5 linked regions of the Sus scrofa genome follow. The protein of the gene in region 3 purifies or fractionates together with the protein of the main gene of each other region. This does not show direct contact. Links are inferred from orthologs where the notes say so. Each region holds a gene or a part of one and is shown on either strand. Other genes may lie near its edges.

Region 1 (3,158 bases), on a different chromosome or scaffold from region 3:
AAGGTCCAGCTGCAGCCCTCATCCCTGTCCATTTCTTCTCTTTTAGGCCTTTCTGCAGAGGTCTGGCCTCATTGCAGATCTCCATGCCTTCTGCCAGGCTCACAGCTATGATGCCCTGGTCGCCATGACTATCTTTTTCAACACTCACAATGAGCCAGTGCGACAGTTGGCTGTCTTCTGTCCCCACACAGCACTCCGAGTGATGGTGAGTCTCTCTCCGTTCTGCAGCCGGAGGGCCCTATAAAGCTTTGCCTGTATGCACTGCCCCGTGCTATAAAGGCGTCTCCTTGGTTCTTATATTTATAGAGGTCTCTTACTCCATTTCCAGAACCTCCTCTCCCCACTTTTTTCCATTCTCTATATATGTGAATATTTTTTAATTATACTGTTGTTGAGAAAGGGAGATTCCAAAGAGAATTAGAGGGAAGTTCCCATTGTGGCTCAGCAGATTATGAACCTGAATAGTATCCATGATGATGGGGGTTCAGTCCCTGGCCTCACTCAGTGAGTTAAGGATCCGGTATTGCCGTGAGCTGTCGTGGAAACGGATGTGGCTCGGATCTGGCATTGCTGTGGCTGTGGCGTAGGCCAGCAGCTGTAGTTCTGATACCACCTCTAGCCTGGGAACTTCCATATGTTGCAGGTGTGGCCCTAAAAAGCAAAAAAAAAAAAAAAAAAAAAATTTCCAAAGAGAGTTAGAGACATAATCCCTACTTAGAAGGAATTGAAATTGGGTTAAAAGGTCATTTTGTAAATCTGGAGTTAAAAAACTTGATTCTTGGAATTCCCACTGTCGCTCAGCAGTAACAAACCTGAATAGTATCTATGACAATGCAGGTTTGATCCCTGGCCCCACTTAGTGGGTTAAGGATCCATTGTTTCCCTGAGCTGTGGTATAGGTCGCACGTGCTGCTTGGATCCCTCATTGCTGTGGCTGTGGTGTAGGCCGGCAGCTACAGCTCTAATTTGACTCCTAGCCTAGGAACCTCCATATGCTGTCAGTTCGGCCCTAAAAAAAGTAAAATAAAAAATGAGTGGACTTAAGGCAGTCCAGGGATTCTTTGGGTTTCTTAGCAGTGAGGACTGCTAAAGACTGGTCTGACTATAGCCAGATAATCTTTTTTGTTCATAAAAGGTATGTCCACCCTTTCCCACCTCTCTTTGCCTTTCTCTTCTCCTCCAGGAAGCAAAATGTTATTTCATTCAGTGGAAGGTAGGTTGACATTGTAGAAAGAACCACAGAATTTTTGGGGGGGCGGGGGTTGATTTTTTTGGCCACACTGGTGGTATGTGGAAGTTCTTGAGCCAGAGATGGAACCTGAGCCACAGCAGTGACAATGCTGGATCCTTAACCCACTGAGCCACCACGGAATTCCAAAACTACAGTTTTTAAAGGTATATAGATATGCTTTTCTGTGCCAGATTTGCCACTTACCTGCTCTTTGACCGAAGGCAAGTCAGTTGACTTCTGAGTCTGTAGGTGGCATGTTACCACCTCCTAATTAGTCTGATGTGATCATCAAACATAATGTCACATGTAAAGTGTAGTACTGAGCACAGTGTACTCTTACTCATCGTGTCATGAAGGAAAGGTTGCTTTGGCTGTAAGAAGTACTTCTCCCTGCCTTCCCAAATCTCCCCACCACAGTCCCTCTGAAAGCCTGCAGGTATCTGATGACTCTACCATTGCCCAGGCTGCCACTGTGCTGGGAAATAGAAGTCCTCTTTTCACAGTCTGCCTGCCATTTCCTCTCTTACTCTTTTGTCAGGAATAGTATAATTTGGAACACCAGGTTTAGTAGCAGACCTGAGTTCAAGTATTAGCCTTGCTTCATTCAAACTTGACCTTCTGGAGTTCCCGTCGTGGCTCAGCAGAAACAAATCTGACTGGCATCCGTGACGACGCATGTTTGATCCCTGGCCTTGCACATTGGGTTAAGGATCTGGAGTTGCCGTGAGCTGTGGCGTAAGCCAGCAGCTATCGCTCAGATTCAACCCCTATCCTGGGAGCCTCCATATGCCGTGGGTACAGCCCTTAAAAGACGAAAAAATTTATGTATACAAACTTGACCGTTAGCAAGTTACTAATCTGTCTAAGCCTCAGTTTCCCTACCTGTAAATGAGGATAATAGTAATATCAACCTGTAAGGTCGTGGTTTTTTGTTTGTTTGTTGGGTTTGTTTTTTTGGGTGTGTTTTTTTTTTGCCTCAACCTGGGAAATTCCCTGGCTAGTGATCCACCCCACACCACAGCAGTGAACCACGTGCTGTAGTGACAATGCCAGATCCTTAACCCACTGCACCACAAGAGAACTCCAGTTTTGGAGTTCCCATTGTGGCTCAGTGGTAACGAACCTGGCTAGTATCCATGAGGATGTAGGTTCAATCCTGGCCTCGATTACTGAGTTAAGAATCCAGCATTGCCATGAGCTGTGGTGTAGGTCTCAGACACAGCTTGGATCCTGCATTGCTGTGGCTGTGGCATAGGCCAGCAGTTGCAGCTCTGATTTGGCCCCTAGCCTGGGAACTTCTGTATGCCGCATAAGCAGCCCTTAAAAAAAAAAAAAAAGCCAAAAAAGAGAGAGAACTCCAGTTTTTATTTTACTTATTTTTTTGGCCACATTCACAGCATGCAGAGGTTCCCAGGCCAGGCATCAAACCCATATCATGTCTGTAACCAGAGTCACAGCAGTGACAACAAGGTCCTTAACCCACTCAGCCACCAGGGAACTCCACCTGTAAGGTAGTTTTGAGGGTTACAGAAGATAATTTTTTTTTCTTGCTTCCCCCATGGCATGTGGAAGTTCCTGGGCCAGAATTCGGACCTGAGTCATAGCAGTGGCAATGCTGAATCCTTAACTGTTAGGCCACCAGGGAACTCCCCAAACCAGATAATATTTGAAAATGGCCAGACAATGCCTAGCAACTTCCCATTCCCACTTTGATCTGCTCATTCTTTCGGCTTCTCTCCTTCCCCTGACCTCAGTATATAGATGCTTGTCCCAGCTCAGCTAAGGATAGAGTTCAAGATTTGGGGGGGTTTTTTGTTTGTTTGTTTTTTTACCACCATACCTGTGGCATGTGGAAGTTCCCAGGATAGGAGTCAAATTGGAGCTGAAGCCGCTGACCTACACCATAGCCACAGCAATGCAAGATCTG
Region 2 (4,134 bases), on a different chromosome or scaffold from region 3:
GCACCACCAGACAGCACTATTAAAGCCACGCAACTATTCACCGACTGGCCTTATAAACGTATCATCAAGCAAAAGCAGGCAACCGGCAGAGGAGGGCTTCACCTAACTTTCCTCCACATCGCAAACGCTGCCCGGGGGGCCGCAGTGTGCAAGGAATCAACCCTAAATAAAGAAATATTTAGGCATGCTGACATCCCCAAAGATCCTCCTCATCCTTAATCTTTCTGCAGTCCCAGCCCACGAAACAGAGTTTGTTTGCACAGCACCCCGCAACCCTTCCTATCCCCATGGGAAGCACTGGTCACCTTCCGCAGACCTCCCCCGGCCCTCCCCTCCACCAAAAAAAAAAACCAGACACCACTGATTCCCACAGTGTAGACTCCATCACCTCTGTTAAGTTTCTGGAGCACGTGATTTGGGAGCGCAAACTTGCTAGAAACAGATTAAACAACATTTGAACACATTTCTCTGGGGTCCTGCCCCACTTAGAGCCAAACAATTCCCAGGGAGGGACTGAACGTCACCAATCCTGGATGACACTAGGTCAAAGCGCCCTTAAGAGTAGAGTGAGTTCCGCCAGGCTGGCCGCCGGCAGCTCTTACCCATTTGTCCAAGGGGACCTGGGCGAGGGACCCGGTGCCCTGGTACAGGTCCAAGCTGAGCTGCTCCAGGCTCAGTTTCTCCTGCAGAAAGTGGCCCAGGTACCTCTGCAGGAGGTACCTACAGGCTCTCTTCTTGATGGACTCTGAAAACGGCCAAGGCATGATGAGGGCTGGCAGATGGGCTGACGGGGGCTGCAGGCGGCTCCGGCCTCGGGGCCAGGCTCCCGCTCCAGGCGGCGGCGGCGGCGGTGACGGCGCCTCAGATCCCGGCCAGTGTGCCCAGGCTGCAGCGGGGCCTAGGCCCGGGGAGGGCCCTCCATGCCCGCTCAGCGCTGGGCGTCCCTCAGGGCGACCCCATCACCAGCGCCGCGCCGCTCGCGCTAGGCCTGGCGCGGGCAAGGTGCGGAGTCCCAGCGGCCCCAAGCCTGGGGGCTTCCAAGGGGTTCCTGGTCGGCACAGAAAGAGGGTGCAAGACACCGCACGAGGCGGCAGCACCGCCTGCGACCGGGGCTGAGACGGACTCCTCCACCGCTGCCGCGCGACGAATTTGTTGTCATCCGCGGGGCGCGCTCCCGGCTGCGGGACGCCCCTGGCGCGTTCGCGAGACTTGGATTCCCAGTCCTGGGCCGGGCGCAGACGGAAGTGACGCCACACTGGGGGGGGGGGTCCGAAAGAGGCGGGGAAAGGAGACCGGAAGGGAGCAGTTCCGGCTCCGAGGGGGCGGGGCGAGAGTGGGGAGCGAGGGGGCGGCGCCGCAGGTCGGTTCCCGAAGCCTCCGGAGGGAAGAAGAGGAAGGCGCGGGGCGAGCACAGGTGAGCAGCCGCGGGGCTGGCGATGGGCGGCGGGAGGCCGAGGGGGGTTCGGGGGCGGACCCAGGGCTTTCTGAGCGGGACGCGGCGCAGCGGGTTGGGCCGTGAGGGGCTAGGGCGGAAGAGGCCCCCGTGCAAAGAGGGGTCTGGGAGCGGCTCCAGCCTCGGCCGTCCCTGTCACCTTAGACCAGGACCCCGAAACGGGCGCTCGGGACGCCGCGAGCTCCACCTGAAGGGCTGCAGCCCGTCTGGCTCACCCCCTCCACACACACACACACACACACACACACACACACACACACACTCCCTAACATTCCCCTACCCCCAGTATTGACCGGTGCCCATTGTCGGTAAGTTATTCGTCGCCCGCCTCATTTAGATACTGTTTTCCAAAGCTTCATTTTCGCTGCTCTCTAGCTAGCGGCTTTGCAGTTTCCAAAGCGCTTTATCCATCCTGGGTGTGCTGCGCCAGCGACGGGAAACTTCGAGTCTTCGAGGCATTGGTGGGCAGAACTGCTTTCTGTGATCGATGCCAAAGCCTTCCGACCCCGGGGAAACCTGGGCAAGGTACCTGTGCTGTTCTGGGAATCTGCGCAGTCGGATTTCTGCCTTTTACGAGGCAACTCCTGCAGAGGCGGAGCCGGCTTTGCACTTGGTCAACCCCGAGAAGGCCTGAGTGCCGGTGTTCCATAACCCGGAAGCCAGGTGCCCTGGGTTAGACTCCAGCTCCTGGCACTTATTAGCCGAGACACCTTCAACTGGCCACTACCCTCTCTGAGTCTTTGTCGACTGTAGGCATGTTAGTAATATCTTACCTCCAAAGATTATTAGGAATCCTAAACCGGTTAACTAGAGAACGAATGTAAACGAGTCCAGATGCATACCGTGTAATGAAGAATAGTCAATTAGGACAACTGGTTTAAGGAGATTTCGTTTGTATGTTGATAACAAACGTCTTAGAAGTATTAACACAGCCCAGAAACGTTGGCAGATGGAAAAAGCTCTGGATCCCCTTCCTTCAACCACCTTTTCATTTTAGAACCACTGTGCTTTCCAGGGTCATACAAGTGCTGCGAATTTTGGTACCTCTCATTCTTTGTAGACTTGGCCCAAGCATTCTCAGTACCTTCGGTTTCCTTGCTCTTCATTCATTTAAAAATGTTTGTTAAGGATCCATTACATGAAAATCTGTACCATTGGTGATGTGAAAAAGGTGAAGAGAAATTCAGGGATCTTATGTTCTATAGTGAAAAGCCCATTCCTTTATTCAGTAAGTGTTTATTGGTTGCCTGCTATGTGCCAGGGATTGTTCTAGGTGCTGGAGATGCTGCAGTGAACAGATCAAGTCCTTGCCCTCAGGGAGTGCTTACGTTTTATGGGCACACAGACTAAAATCAAATATATCATAAGCCATGTGATAAGTGCTGTAGAAAAAAAATAAAGCAATGTAAAGAGAGTGGAAAGGGGAGAGATTTGTCAGCTTTTCATAGGGGTTAGGGAAGTCCTCCCTCGGTTGAGAAGGTGATATTTTAGCAGAGACTTAGAGGTAGCTGGGGAGCAAGGCATGTGAATACATGTAAGAGTTTTCCAGGCATGGGGAACAGCAGAGTGCAAGGCCCTGTGGTAAGAGCATGCTTAGTGAGTTCAAGGAATGTCAGGAAAGAGGAGCAGAGCTGGGGGAATTGGCAGGAGTGGGATGGAAGTGGGGGTGTGTCATGTAAGGCCTTATAGGCCATTATAGAGACTTTGACTTTTCACTTGGTGAATTACATGGGTTTGAGGAACTGAGTGACATAATCTGATGAAGTTTTTACAGATCATGCTAACTGCTGTGTTGAGAAAAGACTTGAGTTCCTGTCGTGGCGCAGTGGTTAACGAATCTGACTAGGAACCATGAGGTTGCGGGTTCGATCCCTGACCTTGCTCAGTGGGTTAAGGATCCAGCGTTGCTGTGAGCTGTGGTGTAGGTCGCAGATGCCGCTCAGATCCCCCATTGCTGTGGCTGTGGTGTAGGCCGGCGGCTACAGCTCTGATTAGAACCCCAGCCTGGGAACCTCCATATGCCGTGGGAGCAGCCCTAGAAAAGGCAAAAGGACCAAAAAACACACAAAACCCTTTAAGCACCACACCATATGGCCCCTTACTCATGTTGAGAGCATTTCTCCAGACTGTGAGGTATGATACAAATAAAAGTACAGTTGACCCTTGAACAACGCTGTGATAAGGGACGCAAACCCTCCCAAACTTGAAAATCTGCATATAACTTATGGTCAGTCCTCCATATACACAGTTGCACATCCGCTGATTCAGTCAGCACGGACAGTGTAGTTCTGTAATAGGTGCTGTTGAAAAAAATCTGCATGTAAGTGGACCTGCAGAGTTCAAGCCTGTGTTGCTCAAGGGTCAACTGTAATCATGAGCAAGATAATTGCATTCTAGCCCTCGGCTGACTGTTGCAATAGCAACTGACAAATTAAACTTTCTTCCAAAATGAAAATTTGACATCTGTATACTACTCTTGAAATCATTCTGGGCTCTGTTCTTTTGTCACCCTGTATATAAGACTGTCTTTCTAAACCCATTCTTGTCCTCAAGAACAAATATACAGTCTTTTGCTAGCTCTTTGATGCTATAAATTGGTGATGAAACAAAACAAAATCTACTAAATTAAGAAGTAGAGAGTAAAGAAATTAGTGATCAATATCTTGATAACTAGTTAATAG
Region 3 (4,203 bases):
GAAGACCGCTTAGTTTATAGATCACCCTACTTCCAAAGAACCCAAACTGTGGAGGGCTATTCTGACTCCCCGTTTCCTCAGGGACTTCAGGATATCCGGCCTGACTGCACTTCCCCTCACCTGCTCTCGGGCCCATTTCGCTGAGGGCAGTCGCGCCCGAGGAGCGCGCGCAGCCACCATGAGCTCATTTCTCAGGGGCGTTTCTGGAAGGTCGGGCCTGGGCGCGCCCGCGCGCGGGGCTGTCGGCCTCACTCCTATCACTGGCCTTCGCGTTTGGGCGGGGCGCGGCCGCGCAGAGGTGGAAGCTTTGTTCTCAATTTAGCGTTTGAGAACTCGCACCCCTGCCTGGAAGCACACTGAATCCGTCCGGGCCTTTCGGGGAAGTAGCTGGCACTGGAGACGCGCTCTCCCCAGCGGAGGGAAACCTTGTGCGCACATGAGCCCCGCCCCGCCGGGAGCCTGTAGTCGGGAGGGGGAGAGAGCCCTTAAACCCTCAGTTCGCTTGAGCGCTCCGAGCCCCGACCGGCTGACTGCAGCAGTTTCCCACTGGCGGGCGAAGGGCTCGCGCTATCTGCGGTTTTCACACAGGCTGCGAGTAGCCACAGGCAAGCCTGTCTGACCATCCACCACAACCCCAGACGCGCTTCTCCCGGCTGCCGGGACCGCCGCCGAGGCCGAAGGCCAATCACACTGCAGCTAGGTCTCGCGATTGGAGGGCAGTGAGTGCCGATTGGCTACTGCTACCGCTTTCGGTCTCCCTCCTTTTCCCTTTTGCCCCCACTCCAGCTCCAAAGCTTGAGACCAATGAGAAGGCGCTTTATAGAGCCCTCCCTTCGCTTTCTACTTCTCCCCACCTTGGCCAGGGAGGAGACGTCCTGACTGGTCAGACTGTCCTCGGAAGCCCCATTCTCTTCACCAATCACCAAGGGAGGTACACTCCCAGCGGAGTTTTGGCCAATTACAAAGCGGTTGCAGCTCCCAGCCTTGCGGTTTCACCAGCAACTCCCGGCTTCACAGTTCTTAACTCTTCAAGCTTTTTCGTGAGAGCCGGCGACTCTGATTGGCCGCTGCTGCCATTGTCGAATTTCTCCTCCAGCCAGCCACAGTATCACTCCAACCCATCTTCTTCTCGGTCGGCTATCTTCGGCACTTTCCGCCCTTGGGCGTGATTTCCAGTGGTACTTTCTAATTGGCTCCTCTGGCCGATCGGCTTTTTCCGGGAGGAGCCGCAAACAAACGACGTCCGTGATTGGCTCCGCTCGGGCTTCGGCTCCCCTGCCGAAGGGGGCGGGCGCCGGGCTCGGCCGGCAATTCTCAGACGCCTGTTACGCGGGCGGAGGGGCGCTGGGCGGTGTAAGGCTGGGTGGGGGAGGAAGGAGGCGGAGGACGAGTAGGAGGGGGGAGGGGTTGGGGAAGAGCTAGGCGGCTGCGCAGACGGCACTCCTCACACAGAACAGCCCCCGACCCGGGCGAATGCGGGCTTTCGCTGCTGCTGCCGCCGCCGCTGCCGCCGCCGCCGCCGCCGCCGCCGCCGCCGCCCGGGCCCGAGTGACAAAGGAAGGAAGGAAGCGAGGAGGAGCCGGCCCCGCAGCCACTGACAGGGCTTCGGGCTGGGGGCAAAGCGCGGACACTTCCTGAGCGAGACCGAGCAGAGGCGAGGGGCGGGAGGGAGGGCGGTCGCGCCGGTGCCGTGGACGGGGGAGGGGGCCCCGAGGGACGGAAGCGGTTGCCGGGTTCCCATGTCCCCGGCGTATGGGGAGCAGTCGAGGAGCCGCTGCCTGGGGTCTGAAGGGAGCTGCCTCCGCCACCGCCGCCGCCATGGCCGCTGGATCCAGCCGCCGCCTGCAGCTGCTCCTGGCGCAATGAGGAGAGGAGCCGCCGCCACCGCCCGCCTCTGACTGACTCGCGACTCCGCCGCCTTCCAGTTCGCCGGGCCCCAGCCGTCAGCCCGCCGGATCCCGCCGCTGCCGGAGCCGCAGCGTTTCCCGTCGCATCTCCGAGCCACCCCCTCCCGCTCCCTCCCTCCTTCCCATCCCCCCTTCTTTTCAAGCGTGAGACTCGTGATCCTTCCGCCGCTTCCCTTCTTCATTGACTCGGAAAAAAAATCCCTGAGGAAAATATAATATTCAAAGTACTTATTTTCAATCAAGTATTTGCCCCCGTTTCACGTGATACATATTTTTTAGGACCTCCCACCCATTTCTACCCTCCAAGGAAAGGGAGGGGAGAGAATTGTATTTTTTTTTTCCCCAGTCCCAGATCATCTATATGTTAAATATCCGTACTGATCTGTCTTCAAGGAGAAATACATCGCTCGCATTTTTTTGTCGCTATACAAAAGGAGTGAAGAGCCAAGAGGACGAAGTCTTTTTTTTTTTCCTGTGGGAGAACTTAATGCTGCGTTTATCATTAACCTAACACCCCAACATAAAACAAAAGGAAGAAGAGGAGGAAGGAAGGAAAAGAAGGTGATTCGGGAAGACAGTGATCATGTCAGGGCGGCCCAGAACCACCTCCTTTGCGGAGAGCTGCAAGCCAGTGCAGCAGCCTTCAGCTTTTGGCAGCATGAAAGTTAGCAGTGAGTATTGATTTTATTTTACACTCTTTCTCCACCTCACCCTTTAAATAAGAGACTTTGAAATACCAGGATCTTAAAATATGATGTCTGATATAACAATCAGAGATAATGGAAAAGGGCAGAAACCTGTCTTCTGTCAAGGATGAGGCAGCTCCCTCTTTTCTCCTCCCATACTCCCTCCCCCGGTCTCATTAACCTTGAATAGAGGGAATATGATTTTTATTTGGATGATTTGACTTGAAATATTTCTTATAGTTTTCTTGCCAGCTTTATCAAGCGGTTGACTTATTTCCATCTTAAAATAGTGATGGAAGTGTTTACTTGGCTCATTCTCATGAATAAAGCGAAGGACAAGATTCATAAACCATTATGTGCTTTTGCAGTGTGTCTTTAGGAACAAGGGATAGTTAGCTCAGATCTCAGGGGTTATCATAGTTTTGTACACTTAATAGAGGAGCTAAATGTCACAGTCTCTTAACAGTTCTTTCTTGCCTTTGTGACTGTACAACGCATTTGTTCTTAATCCAGAGATGAACTTGCTCAGTGACCACTTTCACATTTCCAGGCAAGCATTGATTCCTCCTCTTAGAAGGGACCCGTGAGGTTGATACTCAGTAGCAGTAGTATCTCAACATGCATTGTTTTAAGTCTACCACTATAGAGTTAATATTTAATCAAAAGGTAACTTGGAAGTAGGTCCTGGTTTTGATCGAGATTTGTATTGTCATGTTGTCAGATACTGAGTTGAATGTTAACTGTCACTGACCCTCCATATATCAGTTTTGGGGATGCCATTGCATTCCATACATGCTAAATGATGTAAAGTTCAGGGGTCCCTTCTTAAGACTGTTTAAAATACTCTTGCATTGGTTTTCTTTAGGTAAGACTATCCAGTTAGAGGAATATGGATTTAGACCTTTTCATCATAGGTTTTGCAGAATGCTGTGGTCCTGGATATAATAGGGTATAATTTGGGCTCTGTTCAGGGTTATTACTAGACTGGACCCTCTTGCTAGATTTGTGCAGAAAAGTCTAGTTGAGTGGTACACTAAGTGTCAGATGTTCCTGTGTATCTCTGTTTATGTGGAATTTAAAGAGTTTATTTAAACGTACTTTCAGAATTTGACAAAAATATCTATTCTGTTTCCTTATTTCTCAAGAAAGGGGCATGATGAGGACAACGAAAAACTATTTGGTTGCCTAGAAGAAGGAGAGAATTGAACTGAGATTTTTTTTTTTAAAGTATATGCTGTTATGTGAAATTGATTATATCCTTAAACAGCATAATATAATCACTCTTAATTGAACCCAGGATTTGATTCATGTTGGCCTTTGGAGCTTGCCTAAGACAGTGTAGTCCAAGGTAATAGCTGAATGGTAGATTTTTTTTTTTTTTTTTTTTTGAGAGTTAAATTTTTTTTTGGTGACTAGCTAGTTGAGAATGCAGGGTATGTGAAGAGGGAAGCTGATGATGCATCTTTCAGGGAATGGTCAAGCTTTCTAAGCACTTCATGGGGTCATTTGAGAGGAATATTTTAAAATTCTGGGGTAGTTTTCAGCTATGATGAAGCAAATCTTTTAATAGCTACTTAAGAGCCTATTGTGGTACTGGAGTGTTAGTATGT
Region 4 (3,514 bases), on a different chromosome or scaffold from region 3:
TTTCATTTCCGTTCTTTTCCGTTTCCGAGTCTTACGTGGATTCTGCCTTCCCTCACCCTGGGTCATGCGCCCCCGTTATGTCTAACCAGCTGTGAATGTTTATGTACCTCTTGTGTCCCCATGTCTGTGCTTGACTCTCCATTTCTTTGTTCACTCAGACTAAACAGTCTTCTGGTGAAAAGCTCATGGATGGCTCTGAAATCTTCAGTTTATTAGAGTCTGCGAGGAAACCGACAGAATTCATAGGAGGGGTTACTTCCACTTCTCAAAGCTGGGTGCAGGTGGCCATTCCTTTCCATCCTTGGTGTCTCTGCCTCTGCCTCTCTGCCTTTTTTTTAAATGCCTTTTTGGTGTGTTTGTGTGTGTGTTTTGTATCCAAGTGGCTTTGCCTTAAACACCCAAGGGTCTTCACTTACCCGGCTTTGTGCTGGCCCACAGATCCATTATGTCTTTAGTTCTCTTGTAAGAAATAGTGAGAAATTTCAATAGCTTTCAATGTTTTAAAGCATTTTGTGTTACCTATTAGGTCTAAGGAAGCAGCCCAAACCAATGTGCATGTGCTACAATGCTTTCACTTTGTTTTGGTTTTTAATTGCATCTTATACCACATTCTGTTTCTTTGGCGACATCCCAAAGAAGCAGCTCGGGTTCAAGCGGTGAAGGGGGGGCAGCGGGCAGGCACCAAAGATTATGGTGCGGGGAGTGAAAGCTAATTTCTGTTTTCTATAAGTGTTGCTGGTTATAAGCTTGAGGCAATTTGGTGAGTGACTTCTTTTGTGGGTGTTTTGTTTTATCTTTGGGCTTTGCTTTGTGGACAATCACGTTGATACCACCCTTTTTTACTATACAGAAAACAGAAACCAAGACGGAGTCCAGTGAAACAGAGACAGAAACGACCCAGCGCCCCCAGCCACTCAGCACTGAGACGGTGGTGCAGGAAACGGTGTTGGTGGAGGAAAGACATGTGATGAGCGTGCATGCAAGTGGAGATGCTTCTTCCACTGCGGGAGATGGTGTGGATGCTGCAGCACAGGCTGCCTCTGCCGAAGCTTCTGGCGTGAAAGGGAAGGAAGGCTCTGCTCTGACCGAGGGGGCGAAAGAGGACAAGGGGGAGGTGGCCGACAGAGCTGTCCTGGAGCAGGAAGTGATGGCCACTGCTTCCCAGGAGCCAGAGGAGGAGCGGCTGAGTGCTGCCATCCACGTGTCTGAAACTCTGGAACAAAAACCTCATTTTGAGGTAACTAGCAGTTAATGTTACTTTTCATGTGGAAGGAAGTCCCTGGAGGGTAGTTAAGGACGAAGGTGGGGCTCAGTTTAATTTTCCACCTTTTCCAAGAGCAGCATGGGCCTCGTCTTGGCTTCTTGCATGGCAGTTATGGGCATCTGTGCTGGTTTCCATCGCTGGGGCCCCTTGCAAACACATAGAATGATGATTCTTAATAACCTGTAGTTCCAGGAAATGGTCTCTACTCTCATTGTAATTAGTCATTGGCAGTAAATCTGGGAAATGTATGCTCGGCCAAGACATTAGGAAATTTAATAAATTTATTTCTGATCAGTTTACTTATCCAGAAGGACCAACACCTGGCTTGCCCCAGCACCAAATGCTAGGATTTATCTTTGGTCTCTGTTATTGAGATTCCTGAAGTCTCTGAGTGGGGCAGTGGTTCAGTGTCATATTACTTGTTCCTTCTCTCTAAGAAGTTATGAAATAAAAGCCTCATTTAGGACTTTCCATCCATTAAAATTAGTTCATGAGCTAGAGGAGAGGGAAGGTGAAAATGTGGGTTTTGGTCAGTTTCCTTCAAAACCATTTCCTTTACCTGGAACCTTCCACGTGAAGAATGTTGTGGAGACTGACACGTATCTGTCGTGTGCTTCATTCCCCAACTTACCCCCCCATGTTATGTGTGAACATTTATTTCATACTAACCTGTGCTGACATAATATCCACCAAGAGGGGAGAGAAGAAACAAAACAAAAAGCATGTGTTGGTGCAAACTGTAACAGCCACTCTGCCTGCTTCCCGTTGGTATAGTCATCAACTGTGAAGACAGAAACCATCAGCTTTGGCAGTGTTTCACCAGGAGGAATAAAGCTAGAAATTTCTACCAAGGAGGTGCCTGTAGTTCACACAGAAACAAAAACCATAACATATGAATCATCACAGGTAAGACTGTGAAATCTACGAAGGCCAGGGCCCTGGCCCTTGTTTCCCCGCTTGAATGCACTTCAGTGTAACTGTATGACATTGAATTTGTGAGCCTCAGAGGACTCAGCAACCAGACTGTCTCTCTCAAGAGCAAGGCCATAATTGTAATTCTTTTACCAATCCAGGAAGAGCAGGTGACTTAGGCAGGTCATCTTGTATCTCAAAATGGAGCAAGAAGCTCAGAAACCTATTACCTGAGCTGTAGATAAGGCAAAACACTAGCTCAGGCGGCCTCTGCGCACATTTCTGAAGCCCCAATTTTTTAATGATGGTTAACAGTGGCCGTCTTTGGTTCGTTCCCACTCAGAGGGGCAGCTCCCAGGCTGGTGGAGCCACACAGAGAGGGCAGATGATTAAATCACCATTCTCATGCCCTGAACCCCGTGCATCGGATGTCCGAAGAGGTAACATAAACATTCAAGTGTGGCATCTCCTCCCTCCCGCTTAGGTTGATCTTGGCGCTGATTTGGAGCCGGGGGTGCTAATGAGTGCCCAGACGATCACATCTGAAACCACCAGCACCACCACCACCACCCACATCACCAGAGTAAGTGAGTGGGAACCTATAAAGGCCGGTAGCCATTCAGAACTTCCGGGTTGGGCTGCACAAGCAGATCCTCATGTGACTCTGGGATGCCGGGCAGCTGCCCTGGAGCTTTCACGGCTGCTATCTTTGTGGGGCATTTGTGCTCCCGTTACCGTGCTGGTGAGGACTGTGCATCCAGATAACCCTCTGCTTTATACGTACTCCAGGGCTTACATAGGACATAGGGCGGCTGTTCCAGAGGCCCTGGCCAGCCAAACCCAGAGGACCCTATTCTGTCCTTCCTTCTGAAATTAGCAATTGTGACTAACTGCTGTAGGGTTCCGTTTGGATTCCGAAAGAAGGAGTGAGGTTACTTGAAGCTGTGCTAGCGTTTTCTGCCATTTCCCCCCAGTCAACAGTGAGGGTAATGTCATAACGCTTGATTATTCCTTTCAGACTGTGAAAGGAGGCATTTCAGAGACGAGAATCGAGAAGCGAATCGTTATCACAGGAGATGCAGACATTGACCACGACCAGGTAGTGTGTTAAAGACGGTAGATGCCCCGGCAGAGAGACAGAAACATTGGTGGGTCCTGCTTTTCCCCGAGCGGTCCCTCTAGTCCAGCCTGTAGCCTCAACAGTTTTCTGAGTTAAGTTTCTGATACGCAACGTGTAATTCCTTTTGCAATCATTGTGCCCCATTTGTAGACTGTGTTTATAGATCTAGCGCCTAAGTCTCTGCCTTGCTCTGATCATGCATGTTCCACCTCCTTTTT
Region 5 (3,514 bases), on a different chromosome or scaffold from region 3:
GATTGTTCTTTGTCCAGAACAGAGAAAAGGCAGGACCTGTGGGCAGGCATCACTCTTCCTGCTGGGCCTCCGTGCCTCTGCTCCCTGCCGGGGTCTTGAGGAGGGAGCCCCCCTTTCCCCATCTATGCGGTACATGTGCCCACCCTGGCCTTCCAGGGCCCTGCAGGGGGTTAAAGAGCCCAGTGAGGGCCAGGGGCATTTCTTGGTCACTTTGCCCTCAATGCGGGACAGGTGACACCTGCACCTTAGCGCATCCCGAGTCCTGCTTGCCCCTTCTTGGTGGGCTTTATCCCAGGGGAACACATGGATTTGGCTCCAGCTACATCTGCACTGAGCAGGGCCGGGACTAGGAGGGTAAGGGGGACACCTGGGCACACAGGTAAAAGAGGAGCCCAGGAGGTGCCATTCTGCTGCCATCTCAAGCCAGGGAGGAGAGTGGAGAACTGTCACAGCACTTAGCCACCTGCCAGGTGAGCAGGGCTCTGGAGTCCACCTCCAGGGCCCTGAGACCCCGACCCTTCTGGAGCAGGCCCTGCCCAACTTCGCCAGCCACCTCCACCTGGGCGCTGATTTGGGACCCCGAGTGCCACCCTTTGTAGGGGAAGGGATGGGGCTCAGGGCTGGGACCCTGCTGGTGACTGACAGCTGACAGCAGGGTATGGAGCTGGGCTTAGATCTCTGCCTTTTACACATGGGTGAGAGAGTTCTGGAAATGAACCAGGGGGATTGGGGAACGGGCCTGGCTGCTGTTAAGTTTTTTTGTATCTTGCACAGACACAAGGTGAAACTAATTACACAAGCGTGCCCCTCCAGGGGTTCATTTTGATCTGAGCTTTGACTCGGCTGGACTTTGAGTGGAACTGCAGGTGACCTTCAGGGGAGAAGGGCCGGGGAGTGCTGAGCAGAGAGGCTGCTGGGGAGGCGCTCAGTCACTCCGGCCACATCTGGCTCTGATTTTTTTTTTTTTTTTTTTTGCTAAGGCACACTTAATAAGCCTGGCTTTGAAGCCCCGGCCTCCCCTTTAATGCACAAAGACTTGCACAAATGGTTGACTCGCAAATTCTTTACTGATTGGATCAGGCTGTGGCGAGGTCCTTCCCAGCTGCCTTATCTGTCTACACTTGCTCTCTGGGCCGGAGCTGCCCTCCTGGGTCGAGGGGGCGCTGGGTGCGCTGCTGCGTCCCCCCAGCAGGGGTGGTGCTTCAGCACGCCCTTTGCACCCCCTTACTCCCCCATCCGAAGCCCGGTGAGGATGGGTCTGGGGAGTGGGGGACCTGGGCTGTGTCGAGGAGTCGCAGCATGGCAGAGGTTCAAAAGGAGAACAGTCCCTCCCGACGTGCCAGACGCTCTTGGTGCCAGATGTCGGAAGAAAGCAAAGTTCGCCACAGAAAGCCTGTTGCAGTGGGAGAGCCCACTGCTTGGAGAGGACGAGGGCAGCGCAGTGCCTTTGAAGGCTCGGGGGGCCGCCCAGGGCAACGTGGCCTCTCCCCTCTCTGGAAGAGGCTGCCGTTATGTAAAAGCATCCGAGCATCGCGTGTCTGCTCGGAAAGCCCGGGAGAGCCCGACGCCCTGAACCTGACTGATGGCTGGGCCAGGCCGGGCCGGGAGGGCGTCGGGATTGGGAAGGTGACGTTCCCTGCCTGCAGCCCGCGGTCTGCCCAGCCCCATCGCCGCCCCATTTGCTCGCCATCTCCTGAACCCCCCCAGAGAGTCTGAGCTCCTGGCTCTGAAGCGGCTTCACCACTGACCCACCAGAGCCGGGCTGCCCACCGCGATGCGCTGGCTCAGCTGGGAATGCCAGGAACCAAGACCCTTGACTCCATCCAGCTGTTTCACTTTATTTAGCCTTATCGCCTATGAAAGTATTTGGCTCGCCTTCATTAAAGAGGAAAGAAATTGAGCTCTAACCAAGGGGAATTTGAAAGAAAAAAATATTTTTCAGGACAGAAACCAAAAAACAACCATAACCCTGAGACACCGTCTCTTTTTCTGTGTTTTTTTTTTTTTGGAGGAGCTGTTCCCCCCCCACAGGGGAGGAGCTGTGACCCGCCCTCCATGAGTGGCCTTTCTTCACGGAAGGTGTCAGCTGGCAGGGCCGACACCTGAAGAAGGGTCTCCCTGGCTGGGGATGGCGAAGGAAGAGGCTTGGGTGGGCCTGGGCCTGCAGGATGGCACTTGTTGTCGAATGTGACGCTGGTCATTTACGTCCGTGCAGTTAAACAGGCTGGGGTGGGACGAAAGGAACCTTTTATCAACAGGCAGGAGGGCCTTTGGTGTGTCACCCTGGAGGAGGGGCGGAAACAGGGAGAAGAGGGGACAGTGGTGTGGGGACGAGGCTGTCGGCCGCCCTGGGAAGCAGCACTGGCCTGGCCTGCCTCCCGCAGCGGCCACAGAGGAAGCAGCCCGTCCCGCCTGTCCCCTGGCCATGCCCGTCTCCGAGACCGGCCGGAAGGGATTCCCTCCCCAGACTTCTGTAGGATCAGAGTGGCTGACTCCGGGGGTGGCTTGGCGGGGTCGCCCCCCCCGGGGGGGGGGGCGCTGCTGCAGGTGACCTCGAGGCATGCCCCTGCCTCCATCCCCCACAAAGGGGGAGAAGGAAGGAAACTCTGCTCCACAAAGTGTACTTTTCACCAAGTGTGTGGGGGCGGGGGGACAGCAGCCGTTCTGGGCTGGAGGTCCTGGGTTCTCAGGTGGCGGGGGGGCACCCAGCCCACCACCTCCAGGGTGCCTTCCCTTGCACCAGCCCGCTGGCTATCTCAAAGCAGATGTGGGCAGAGGTTTCCCTGCCACCTGTTGTACCAGCCCTCTTCAGATACCTTAGTCCTCCGGGGTTGACAGACTCAGTAGAAAATGCAGCTTAACCAAGACGTGTGTTGGGTCTTCCTTTGAAGGTATTACTTCAAAACAGCGAGCGACGAGTTCGCCTGTGGAGCGGTTTTCGAGGAGATCTGGGACGATGAGATGGTGCTGCCTATGTATGAAGGCAGGATTCTGGGCAAGGTGGAGAGAATCGATTGAGCCTCGGGCGGCCCGCGGGGCCCAAGCCCTCACGACCGGCCTTGGACGTGAGCGCCCGCAACCCAGCCCTTTGAAGGAAGACTCAACCAGTGAAGACGTCGAAGTCTGGGGGAAGACTCTTGGCCACGGGGCCTTCGGGAGGGTGGGGGGAGGTTGGCTTTCATTATTCCCCAGCTGGGTACGGAGATAAGAAAAGCCTGAACTATTTATTAAAAACATGACCACTCGTGGCTGTTGAAGATGCTGACTGTATTTGAGAGACTGCCATACATAATATATGACTTCCTAGGGATCTGAAATCCATAAACTAAGAGAAACTGTGTATAGCTTCCCTGAACAGGAATCCTTACTGATATTTATTGAATAACTGAGTCTCCCCCCACCCCAATCCCCAGTTTATGGATATGCTGCTTTAAACACGGAAGGGGGGAGACAGGATGTTTGTAATTGTTCTAAGCTTTGGAGTTGAGCTAGGAGTGCATTAATGATTTCTTCA

What was found.
Region 1: the proteins of GSK3B (region 3) and PRUNE1 purify together in Homo sapiens (affinity purification with mass spectrometry; 5 studies listed by BioGRID and IntAct, with this or other methods). This does not show direct contact. The link is inferred for Sus scrofa from reciprocal best matches to the Homo sapiens genes GSK3B and PRUNE1.
Region 2: the proteins of GSK3B (region 3) and GSKIP purify together in Homo sapiens (affinity purification with mass spectrometry; 10 studies listed by BioGRID and IntAct, with this or other methods). This does not show direct contact. The link is inferred for Sus scrofa from reciprocal best matches to the Homo sapiens genes GSK3B and GSKIP.
Region 4: the proteins of GSK3B (region 3) and EPB41L3 purify together in Homo sapiens (affinity purification with mass spectrometry; 4 studies listed by BioGRID and IntAct, with this or other methods). This does not show direct contact. The link is inferred for Sus scrofa from reciprocal best matches to the Homo sapiens genes GSK3B and EPB41L3.
Region 5: the proteins of GSK3B (region 3) and AXIN2 purify together in Homo sapiens (affinity purification with mass spectrometry; 9 studies listed by BioGRID and IntAct, with this or other methods). This does not show direct contact. The link is inferred for Sus scrofa from reciprocal best matches to the Homo sapiens genes GSK3B and AXIN2.

What each region holds. Positions count from the first base shown.
Region 1 is NC_010446.5:98,196,775-98,199,932, reverse strand, and holds part of PRUNE1 (protein prune homolog), read left to right. Parts: intron 1-46; coding exon 47-205; intron 206-3,158. UniProt on the Homo sapiens protein: Phosphodiesterase (PDE) that has higher activity toward cAMP than cGMP, as substrate. Plays a role in cell proliferation, migration and differentiation, and acts as a negative regulator of NME1. Plays a role in the regulation of neurogenesis.
Region 2 is NC_010449.5:117,585,411-117,589,544, forward strand, and holds the start of GSKIP (GSK3-beta interaction protein), read left to right. Parts: upstream 1-1,331; 5' UTR 1,332-1,414; intron 1,415-4,134. Other genes in the region: ATG2B (autophagy-related protein 2 homolog B), read right to left, coding at 603-764. UniProt on the Homo sapiens protein: A-kinase anchoring protein for GSK3B and PKA that regulates or facilitates their kinase activity towards their targets.
Region 3 is NC_010455.5:140,134,712-140,138,914, forward strand, and holds the start of GSK3B (glycogen synthase kinase-3 beta), read left to right. Parts: upstream 1-1,397; 5' UTR 1,398-2,490; coding exon 2,491-2,578; intron 2,579-4,203. UniProt on the Homo sapiens protein: Constitutively active protein kinase that acts as a negative regulator in the hormonal control of glucose homeostasis, Wnt signaling and regulation of transcription factors and microtubules, by phosphorylating and inactivating glycogen synthase (GYS1 or GYS2), EIF2B, CTNNB1/beta-catenin, APC, AXIN1, DPYSL2/CRMP2, JUN, NFATC1/NFATC, MAPT/TAU and MACF1.
Region 4 is NC_010448.4:101,665,210-101,668,723, forward strand, and holds part of EPB41L3 (band 4.1-like protein 3), read left to right. Parts: intron 1-158; coding exon 159-281; intron 282-850; coding exon 851-1,237; intron 1,238-2,038; coding exon 2,039-2,170; intron 2,171-2,660; coding exon 2,661-2,759; intron 2,760-3,194; coding exon 3,195-3,275; intron 3,276-3,514. UniProt on the Homo sapiens protein: Tumor suppressor that inhibits cell proliferation and promotes apoptosis. Modulates the activity of protein arginine N-methyltransferases, including PRMT3 and PRMT5.
Region 5 is NC_010454.4:12,312,199-12,315,712, reverse strand, and holds part of AXIN2 (axin-2), read left to right. Parts: intron 1-2,891; coding exon 2,892-3,018; 3' UTR 3,019-3,514. UniProt on the Homo sapiens protein: Inhibitor of the Wnt signaling pathway. Down-regulates beta-catenin. Probably facilitate the phosphorylation of beta-catenin and APC by GSK3B.